Linked DNA regions of Cricetulus griseus. The protein of the gene in region 1 interacts with the protein of each later gene in a biochemical or structural test. Links are inferred from orthologs where the notes say so. Each region holds a gene or a part of one and is shown in the gene's direction. Other genes may lie near its edges.

The links.
Region 2: of the proteins of Coil (region 1) and Vrk1, one has a biochemical effect on the other in vitro, tested with the Homo sapiens proteins (2 studies listed by BioGRID and IntAct, with this or other methods). The link is inferred for Cricetulus griseus from reciprocal best matches to the Homo sapiens genes COIL and VRK1.

The regions. Positions count from the first base shown.
Region 1 is NC_048600.1:102,121,388-102,126,721, forward strand, and holds part of Coil (coilin), read left to right. Parts: intron 1-2,189; coding exon 2,190-3,291; intron 3,292-3,409; coding exon 3,410-3,496; intron 3,497-3,753; coding exon 3,754-3,801; intron 3,802-5,334. UniProt on the Homo sapiens protein: Component of nuclear coiled bodies, also known as Cajal bodies or CBs, which are involved in the modification and assembly of nucleoplasmic snRNPs.
Region 2 is NC_048598.1:188,703,897-188,709,946, reverse strand, and holds the start of Vrk1 (serine/threonine-protein kinase VRK1), read left to right. Parts: upstream 1-2,367; 5' UTR 2,368-2,510; intron 2,511-2,561; exon of another isoform or gene 2,562-2,720; intron 2,721-6,050. UniProt on the Homo sapiens protein: Serine/threonine kinase involved in the regulation of key cellular processes including the cell cycle, nuclear condensation, transcription regulation, and DNA damage response.

The DNA.
Region 1 (5,334 bases):
GTTCAGAGCTTTGGCTGCTCTGTAGACTTGAGTTTGGTTCCCAGCAGCCATGTGCAGTGATTCACAACCACCTGTATGTCCAGCTGTTGGATTTCCAACAGTCTCTTCTGGTCCTGGAGTACTTGAAAACACACACACACACACACACACAAACACACACACAAACACCTCTTTAGAGCTGAGAGAGAAATAGAATCACCAAGTGGTGGTGTCGCTCGCCTTTCATCCCAGCACTTGGGAGGCAGAGACAAGTGGATCTCTGAGTTGGAGACCAGCCTGGTCTACAGAGTGAGTTCCAGAACAGCCAGGGCTATACAGCGAAATCCTGTCTCGAAAACTATAACCAAAAGAAAGGAAGGAAGGAAGGAAAGAAAGAAAGAAAAGAAAGAAAGGAGAAAGGGAAAGTCATAGGTACTTGCAGCAGAGAGGGGTCTTGAAACAAGCAGCCCTTTATTCACTCTTGAGATTTCAGTGGGAATCTCATCCAGAAACTCTTTCAGACAAGTCATAGACACAATGTTTGAGCTGAGCACCCCATAGCCTTGCCAGGTGGACATAAAATTAACCTTTATAAACTGTCATGGATCATATAGGTAACTGTAACTATTCAGAATCTAAGCAGAAATAGGAAAACACTTTTATTATTTTAATAATAATTAAATAATTCTTTCTTCGAAACAGGGTTTCTCTATGGCTTTGGAGGCTGACCTGGAACCAGCTCTTGTAGACCAGACTGGTCTCAAACTCACAGAGATCCTCCTGCCTCTGCCTTCTAAGTGCTGGGATTAAAGGTGTGTGCCACCATCACCCAGCTTTAAATGTTTTATTACCATATAGTTATCTTATATATTTGTAGAGTGCAATGACTCATTTCAGGATATGTATATATAATATGTAATGATCAGAACAGAATTGATTATCATATCTGTTTCTTCATTTTTTTCTCTTTTATGTTGAGGACATTAAAAGTCCTCTCTAGATACGTCTTTAATCCCAGCACTCAGGTAGCAGAGAGAGGTAAATCTCTGAGTTCAAGACCAGCCTGGTCTACATACCAAGTTAAAGCCACCCAAAGCTACCAGTGGTGTCAAAAAAGAAAGAAAGAATGAGAAAGAGAAAAAAAAGAAAGAAAAAAGAAAATTTTTGTAGCTCTTTGTCGATAATTGTTGTCCACCATTGTTGTCCTATACTATGGAGGAACATTAGAATTTAGTCTTTGTATCAGTGTACATGTTTGTCTTACCTTCCCCTACAACCTCCTTAGGTTTTTATTCTATTTTCTGCTTCTTTGAGATCTTTTATTTTAAAGTCTTCATATAAATGAACATGTGTGGTATTTGTCTTTCTGATTTAATTTAGCAACCTGCCCTCCAGCTCCATATTGCTACAAATGATATACCTGCTTTACAGCTGAGTAATATTCCATTATCCATATGTGCACCACATTTTCCCTATTTACTTAACTGTTAGTAGACACTCAGGTTCAGTTTATGTTTTTACTCATTCTAGAGCAAAACTGGATGGATAATGGGTTCATCCTTTAGAATGGCTAACACACACATATAGTACAGAGATTGTGGATTAAGAAAAAGGAGGCATGAAGCTGGGGTGTCTGAGAGAAGTTGGAAGCTAGTGTTTGTGTGTGAATATGGTTGAAATAAATTGTATATGTGTATGAAATTATCAATAAATCAATGTTATATTGTTAAAAAAAAAAACTGATTGAGTTTTGAAGATAGGCAAGCCAAGGTTGGAATATCCTCCTATTTCTTACCAGCTGTGAATCTTGGGCAGGTACCTGTTTGAGTTGTAGATTTTGCGACCTCTGAAATGAAAGATTACCTAGTTTGTCAGTGATGTTTAAGTTAGGAAAAAAAAAATGTGTGGGACACAGTAGCTATTAAGTTACTAAAACTAGCCACAATGAGCCAGGCATGATAATACCACCTTTACTCCCAGCACTCAGGAAGAAGAGACAGTGGAGCTCTGTGAGTTGGAGACCAGCCTGTTCTCCATAGCAAGTTCCAGGCCATCTAAGGTGAAGTTGTGAGACCCTGTCTCAAAACGACAAAGACGAAACAAAACTAGCCGTTGAAAGAGTTGTGGTCATTTTGTGTCGTCTTTCATCCTTAAACTCCACAATCTGCAGTCTTGGCTGTATGTAACTACTTGCTGTCTTCTCTTGACAGGGTTAAGTTAGAAGATGGAGAACTCCCTGAGAATTTCATAGTAAGCAATGGCGGTGACTCTAACTTTCTACTCAGAAAAGCAAAGAAGCGGGCTTTTAAGTTGGTGGACAATGAAGAAATGGAACTGGGTTACAAGTGCTCCAAGAAGCACTGGAGAAAGCTAGAGGACAGCAGCTATAAAGAGAAGGCCTTAGACCTGGAAACAAAACCTGTTCCAGATGAGGTGGGGGTGGGGAGGACGAAAAGCAAGAAAAAAAGCAAAGTGACAGACAGCCCAGCAGAGGAGGAGGAAGAGGCCAGAAAGAAGTCACCAAAGAAAAAGGAGAAATGTGAACATAAGAAGCAGACCAAGGCACCCAAGTCTCCCAAAACGCAGATGCCCAAGGAGTGGAGCCCACAGAACTGCTTGCCCAAGGGCTCCCCCAGAAGCAGCCTCACTAAAGCCCTGAGGAAAAGTAGTGCAGGGCCAAAAGGGGGCTCAGGCTACCTGTCAGAGTCTGATTCTTGTCCAGAGTCGGTCAGTGATAGCCTCTGCAATATCACAGTGTCGGGGATCACCTTTTCAGAGAAACTCTCAGCTGAGCTGTTGAACGATGGACCTGCTGCAAAAACGGCAGCTGTCAACAAACAGGCCTCAAAGCCCGCCTTTCCCTTCAGCTCCGGCAAGGGCAAGGGCAAGGCCATCAGAACCTCGTCATCCAGTTCAGACTCCAGTTCCGAGTCGGAAGACCAGTTCTTGGTGTCCAAGAACATCTCTGAAGGCGCCTCAGACTTCTTAAAGACAGCCGGTCTCTTTGCAGGGCAAGGGTGTCCAGGGCTGACGTTGCAGACTTCGGGTGTTATGGGCTGGAAGCCTTCTGACTCCAGCAGAGGCAGGCAAGCTCTTGGTCCTGCTCCAAGTGTGCCTGTCCCTACCAGTTTGGGAAGAGGATGGGGTCGAGGAGAGGACTTCTTGTTGGGGAAGGGGCTGAGGGGCCGGGGTATACGAGGCCGAGGTCGAGGCCGAGGGCCTGCTATCTCCTGTATCTTAAATAGAAGCTCTGAGAGTCAGAAGCAGAAACAGTTAAATGACATCCTAACAAACTCGTCCACTGTGATCCAGGTAACCATTCGTTGTTTGAGTTGGCTTCCCTTTCCCCACGGAGTGTATCTCAGCTCCGAGGCATGCCACGGGTTCCTCTTTTTTCACCAGTTAACCGAGTCATGTGACTGTTTTCCAGAATCCTGTAGAGACACACAAGAAGGACTATAGTCTATTGCCACTGTTGGCAGCTGCCCCTCAAGTCGGTGAAAAGATTGCATTTAAGGTATATGTTAAAACAGCACCAACTATAACAAAGGCAAGATTCCCATCCCCCCACAAACACATGAAACTTACTTAGTGAATCTTACTAAGCAATGTCTACAAAAACTGTCTGCCGTTGTCAGAAGTCATGGTGGGGCATCAGGTGGGTGGGGGTGTGTGCCTCTGCATGGCACCCATTCCTGGGGTAGGAGGGAGCAGGCCCAAGAGAGTGAGGGTCTGGGAGAGTTGTGGACTCTAAGGCTTTGTCTTCTTTTTTAGCTTTTGGAACTCACGTCGGACTACTCTCCTGATGTCTCTGACTACAAGGTAAGACTGTTTCTATGAACATAATGAAGTTAGCTGTGTGGTGGAGTGTACCTATTGTCTACCTTACTCAGGAGACCGAGGCAGGATATCCTCTTGAGCCTAGGAGTTCACAGCTAGTTCATTAAAAAGAAAAAATGAAAAGATTAAATTGTCACTATGTCAGAAACTTGTTCAGTGTAGCAGCATCCACCTTTTAATCCTGGCACTCAGGAGGCTGAGGCAGGAGAATTTTGAAACTGAAGCAAACTGGGCTGACATAGGGAGATTCTGTTTCCGAATATTTTAAACAGATGAAGTATGGGGCCGGAGAGTGATGTCTCAGTGGTTAAGAGCACTGACTACTCTTCCAGAGGTTCTGAGTTCAGTTCCCAGCAACCACATGGTGGCTCACACCATCTATAATGAGATCTGGTGCTTTCTGCTGACAAGCAGGTGTACATGCAGATAGAGAGAGCACTCATACACAAAAATATTTTAAAAAATGAACTGCTGATAGATTTGAATAGCACTTGCATGGATAATAATAGACATTTTTGGTAAGTAATGTTATAAAGGAAGATGAGAGTCCTGTGGATGTTTTTACAAGTGTCACTGTGAAGTCCCCCAGTCTTCTGTCGCTGACACTTGAGAACAAGACAAGGATGATTAGCTCCTCGTGGAGTACAGGGACTGTTGTGCTTCCAAGGTTCAAACTCAGGGCCTGTCTCAAAAAGAAATAAATAGCTACATAAAGACAAGTAAGTAAATAAAAAGCATCTCTTGTCTGTGCCCAGAGAGAAAGGGTAGGATCTGAGTGGTGGTGCCCAAGAGACCGCTCAGCAGTAAAGAGTTAGCTGGCAGTGGTGGCGCATGCCTTTATAATCCCAACACTTGGGAGGCAGAGGCAGGTGGATCTCTGTGAGTTTGAGACCAGCTTGGTCTACAAATGAAGTTCCAGATCAGCCAGGGTTTTTACACAAAGAAACCTTGTCTTACAGAACAACAACAAAAAAGAGCTCATCGGTTGGCCTTACTATATGACTCCAAAGCTGCCCATTTGTCTTACCATTGCCACCTATATGGGCAGAGCAGTGGGTCCTCTTTTTAAGTATTTGTTTGTTTTTGGAAACCGGGTTTCTTTGTACACAAAGAAACTATCTTGGAACTCGCTCCATAGACAAGACTGGCTTTGAACTCAGATATCCCCCTGCCTCTGCCTCCCAAGTGCTAGGATTAAAGGACATACCACTATGCCTGGTTTAAGTTGTTTTTTTTTAAATGATTTATTTATTTTTATTTTATGTGTTTTGGTGTTTGATATGTTTCTGCTGATGCAAAAGACCAGATTAAAAGCAGATAAATGCAGGTTTATTGGGTGTTGCTTTCAGGTAGGTTCATGAGTCCCAACAAACAGGACCAGAGAAGTCATGTGCCTGAGCTAAGGTTTGGGGGGTACTCTGTAGGTGAGGGTTGATGACATGCCAGCCAGGTGCTGGGATTGTGCCCAAGTATGATCAGAAGCTAAATCCCTGGGCAGGCATTTAGGTGGGCTGG
Region 2 (6,050 bases), on another chromosome or scaffold:
ACCTGCTTGATCCTCGATGGCCCCTGGATCAGGAGTCCTATGACTTAGCCATGACTCTGTTCTGTTCATGTCTCTATCGCCGTGCTGGAAGGATTTCTTTATAGGAATTGCCTCTATGTTCTGAGGTTGTGGGTAAAGTGGCTGAGAGAAGACCATGCAAAAGCAGATCCTGGGAACACGAATCCCTTAAATCAAAACATACAGAAAAGCATAGTTCCTGCCCAATAGAGAGTAGGGCTTCCTGAATATTAATTACCTGAGCATCTTTCCTGGATACCCTAACTCCTGGTTCACAGTAAATGTTTAAAAATATTTCTTAGGGTTGTAGAGGTTGGCTCTTTGTTTTGTTTTGATTTTTTGAGATAGGGTCTCACTATGTGGCTCTGGCTGTCTTGGAATTCACTAGGTAGACCTCTCTGGCCTCAAACTCACAGAGATTCATCTCCCTTCTGTCTCAGGAGTGCTGGGATGAAAGGTGTTTGCTACCAGGCTCGGCTGCAGAGGTATTTCGGGATATATGCTGGATTGTACTCTCAAGTCTTTCCTCAGCTCAACTTTTTAGTTTCAAAAGCTTAGCAGGTTCTGACTGATCACTGGTCTGTTCCTTCCGGCCCTTCACACCAACCTATCAACTCATAGAATGTGCTGAAGGTCTCCTATGTCCCAGGAGTCACCTCCTAAGTAGTGGTATTTCAGACATGCTGTCACCATGACGGCAGCTTGGACTGGTCTCCTGCCACACTCTTCACTGGTAGGACTTCTCAGCACGTGTGGGTGGTGTTGGAGGTGTTGGCAACAGCCTTGGAACATAGCCGCAGCAAAGCAGTGCTCAACCGGGAGCCATCTGACTGAGAGTGCCAGAGCCATGAGCTCTGGAATGCGTTCTATTCCCACCTCAGAACGGATCATGAACTGCTGCTGACTTAACTGCTTTAAGGTCAGCCAATTGTCAAGCCTTTTTTTCTGCACGTCTGTGGTGAGGTTAGGGGAACACCATCACACTGTAACAAGTAAATCACATTCCAAGTTCGGATTCATGTACTCGTTTGTACGGGCAGAATGTCTTTCGAACAAAGCATTCTGACCACAGAGCCTTGCTGTGGGACTTCGCACTCATGAGATGTGTGAATCCCGAGACCTCTTTGCTGACAAATAGTCATCAAGAGCTCACCTTGGGCCTGCATTTCCATCAGTGTGTATACAGAAAGCAGATGCCATGGGAGGATTTGTGGAGGACGGTTTACATTCGATGAGGCCGTTGAGAAAGGTGTCGGGTTGGAGTCACACAGGATGGAGTAGTAGCTTGAGCCTCAGAGGCAGCCCTGACAAGTCACAGAGGTCTGCTTTCATTGCAAACTTGTGGGAGGCCCAGAGAGCAGTGACCTTCAGCTAAGGGATTTCTCTGCCTTTGTGTGTCCTTGTTGGGAAGAAATCAGAAGAAACGTCACCTTCTGTAGCCAACTTTTTTTTTTTCCCCTTTCAGTTCTCAGGGTACTCCATGGATTGAACTCAGCAGAAGCCTGGGAGCAGTGGGGTGTGCAATGCAATTCTGGGTCAGCTTCCTCCGGCAGAAGGCAAGACAGGGAAGAAGCTGGGGTAGGTGGAGGTACCTGGGGCAGTGAGTTCAAGACACGGACTGCACACTGGGCAGCGACTCAGATTGTGTGTGTGTGTGTGTGTGGGGGGGTGCTACAGCTCATACAGCTTTTTCTTTTTTTTTTCTTTTGGATCCACTTTAAGAAAACGACACAGGCCAGGTGTGCTGGCCTATACTTTTAACTCACTACTTCGGAGACTGAGACAGGAGGATCTCCGTGAGTTCGGGGCCAGACTGGTCTACAGAGTGAGTTCCAAGATAGCTAGTTACATACTGAGATCCTGTCTCAAAGAAAAAGAAAACAAACAACGGCCCCTCCCCCCCGACTCCCCAGTCTTAAATTGGTAAAAGAACAGCACTAACAACAACACCCAAACCCAAAGCCTTTTCTAGGGCTTCATAAGATTCAGTTCCAAATTGAGGCTTGAAACCCATCCTTGCTTCTCACTCCTAGGACGATGGAGACAGGTGAAGCAGAGCAGACTGACACCGAGAAGGGCTCCGAAATTTGAAATAAGTCTCTCAGTCTACACGTTTAATAAATCAAGCTTCACTGAGCTCTGGTAATATTTTTTCGGCTGTGAGAGCCACAGTAGGCGGTTAAGACGGCCATCGGCCTGTAAACCACACTTCCCAGAAGCTCTCGGGCTCACAGGACTCCGGACGGTCTCTGTGGCTCAAAGACTACAATTCCCAGCATGGAGCGAGCGTAAGGACCACAACTCCCGGCGTGCCCGCAGAGGTAGCCGGGAAGCGCGCCTCTCCTCTCGTCCCGCCTCTCCCGCTGCTCGCAGCCAATGGGAAGGCTCAGTACTGCACGGTGTGGCGGGGACAGCGCTGTGGACAAGTTGCGAGTCGAGGAAAGCGGCGGGAAGTTCGTACTACGCTGTGGACGGCGGGCTGACAACTCGGGGTAGGGAACTGGAGGTGGTGGCGGCGGCGGCGGCGGCGGGACTGTGGCTACGGCGTCGCTTCAGAGCGGCCCTGCTCGTCCGGGCTTCCGGCGGCGCCGCGGCCGCGTCGGGCCTGCCCGGGAACCTTGGCTTCTTACTTAGCCGGCTCGCGGAGCTGCCGCCGGGAGCCCGGTGCTAGAAGGACGCCCGAAACGCGGCGCGAGCCAGGGGTGAGCCGGGCCGAGCCCCTGTGTTCCTCAGCGGCGTGCGGAGAGGCCTCGGGGCGCACGCCGCCGGCCGCCTGCTTCTCGCTTCCTTCCCGGTTCTTGTGCTCCGCTGGTGCCCTATTTTCCCGTGCAGCGTCAAAGTTTGTTCTAGACGGTTTCCAGGCCAGACAGCCTGAGGTGTAAAACCGCACCAGAGTCTCTGGAGAGGTGGGGAGGGGAGAGCGACGACACGCTAGAGCCCCGATGAGGTTCCCCGTTTCTTTCTGTTGTCTCATCTCTGAAGCCAACCATGCTTTGTGTATGTGTGGGCTCTTCTTTTCCCTCCCCCACCGCTCTTGATACAATTTGGAAAGACGATTGATTGACAAGGAGGTGGCTAAACTTAGGGGATCGTTGAAGAGCTTCATTAATTAGTTCTTTCTCGTTTTTAAAACTGGAATTGCCCATCTGTTGAGTCTGGAATTCAAAACAGTAAAAAAAAAAATGTAGAGCAGAATTTATTTTTAAGAAGAGTTCAGGAAGCCGGGTGTTGGTGGCGCACGCCTTTCATCCCAGCGCTTGGGAGGCAGAGGCAGGAGGATCTCTGAGTTCGAGGCCAGCCTGGTCTCTAGAGTGAGTTCCAGGACAGGTTCCAAAGCAATACATAGAAATACTGTCTTAAAACAACAACAACAACAACAACAACAACAAACCAAGAGTTCAGGAGAAAGGCATCTCAGTCTTTTGTTTTGTTTTGTTTTTTTCCGGAGACAGGGTTTCTCTGTGTAGCTTTGGAGCCTATCCTGGCACTGGCTCTGGAGACCAGGCTGGTCTCGAACTCACAGAGATCCGCCTGCCTCTGCCTCCCGAGTGCTGGGATTAAAGGCGTGCGCCACCAACGCCCGGCGGCATCTCAGTTTTTTGTGACGTGCTGATCATAATGTTTGAGGAGATTTAATTTAGAATTATGACGGGAATTAAATTTCTGGTCAGTTAAGATAATGCTCATCTGCCTGTAGGAAGGAATGTAAGTTGACATCACTTAATAATGGCTTTCCCTGTTGTGCCTTCACAGATGGCAGCCGCTGCAACTCAGCTTTGCCCATGGTGTCTGTGCTAACACAGGAACATGGGTTGAGTTGGATAACGAATGTGTGTTAGGCATTAGTGATTCCGTACAGCGCTAGTATCCAGTACAGACATGACTTTGATAACTAATGGCTGCTGCTTATGCTTGGCATTGCAGAAACCATGAGAGTCTATTTGTTAAACAAATGAGATGATGGAGTCGATGTCTTAAGCAGGGAGCCTGGCATCTAATAAGTTATCGAGTGCCCAGGGAATGGTTATATGGAAAGCTTATGCTGAGTCTTAGTCAAGTATGCCTGTGTATGTTTTAAAAATAACAGCAGTGCATTTAAAATGTTGACAAGCCCTAAAATTAAATTTCTTACAGGAAATAGGCCAGCTTTTCTTAACTTTGAGAACTTAATGTGAAATAATAATAAAGTTGAATGTCCCAGATGTCTAGAAAAGACAAAGATTTAAATTTTGACTCCCTCTGCCTAAAAGACAGCTCTAATAAATAGACCTGTTAGGACTAGGATTTGATTTGAAAAATAAAACCTTAAAAGTATTTTTGATTTGAAAAATAAACAGATTTGGAAGTGGAATTTACCTGTCGTCAAACACAGAAGGGTGACTCCTGAGTTTATGCAAGTGAGCAAGGCTCTTGTCTCCAAGCATCAGGCTGTGAGTTCTGCCTTGTGAGAGTGAAGTGAGGCTGTGGGGGAAGTTGGTCTGGACAGGTCCTCAATGGATTGGTAACTAGATGGGCTTAGATTGTGTGTTTTGAATGCTTGTCAAGATTCTGTTTGAGTGTGAGAGGACACAGGCCCTGGAGACCACATGGCTACTGCTGAGCACAAACCTATTCTGTCATACAGTTTTGTCAAAGCAATAGGATGTGAGATGAGTTTAGAAGGCTGGTGTCTTCAGCGACCAAGCCTTTCCCTCAGTGGTGAAACTTTCAGCCCATATTTCTCTGTGCTTGCAGTTTTCATTGTAAAGCCACAAGGATGACCTCTGAGAACGGTAGCCAAGCCTGAAATCTTTGTGCTCAAACTCAAGTACATCATTCTTTTGGGTGGTGTATATGTAGTGCTTGGTTTTTATTAGCTTAGTTTTAGTTTTTTGAGAAGGATCTTACTGTGTAGTCTAGGCTGCGCAAGAACTCACAGTGTATTCCAGGTTGGCTGGAGCTCACAGCAACCCTCCTAGGTGTGTGTGTGTGTGTGTGTGTGTGTGTGTGTGTGTGTGTGTGTGTGTGTGTAGGGGTAGTATTCATGCCTCACCTAGTTAGGCAGTGCTTTAAAAGAAGCTCTGCAGAGCCTAGGGAAGTAAGAGGTATGTCCTGACCCCAGAGTAGGCATTGTATTTATCAACAAGTACTGATGACAAGGACATTTTACTGCCATTCTTTAATAAACTTAAGAATTTCTTCAAGTGCAACATGTTTGTTAACGGGAAAACTGATGCCAATCATATTTAGGCTTCAGGTAAGGTAGTTTTGTTGTATGTTTGTATATCTCAGATTGTCAGGGACTGTGTGGCTACCTCAGTATGCTTATACAGATGGACTGTGTGGCAGAGTCAGATTGATCTCTGTGGGTTTGAGCCAACCTGGTCTGCATAGTTCCACACCAGTTAGAGCTACAAAGGTATACTTATACAAGCTGACTGCAGACATCCCAGAGTATGCGACTATGAATTAACTGCAGACATCACAGTACACTTACACAGATTGACTACCACTGGTGTCACTAGGTGACATCATTTTATGAGACTCCCCTGCACTCAGTCATTGATTGACAGGCTGTTAGGTGGCTGGTGACTGCATTTTGATGAGTCTGCATCAACGTCTGTCTTACTAAGGGTGTCTGGCCCAAAGGATGGGAACCTGTTGTGCTCTAGGATTTAAAAATTAAGATGGATGTATATTCAGTGTAGTACTAAACATGCATATGAAAACCGGTATATCAGTACGCCAGTGCGTTAAATAGGAAGAGACACTAAATGGAAGTCATAATTAAATGGCAGAGTAATTAGTTTGAAATTTTCGAATGCTCTGCCATGTACTTTTAAAGCAGCTATCACACTGACACTGGAAGAAAGCACACCCTGCATAGCTCAGTGTTAGGAACCGAATGGTTGCATGGAACTAAAAAAAAACGAGGGCCTTATAATTGCTGTCTGTGCATCCGATTTCTCTGAATCAGCTGGTTGGCTGCTGTCAGTGGGTGAGCAGGTACATCTCTAGACTTAGCTTCGTGTTTTAAGAACATCAGAGAGGAC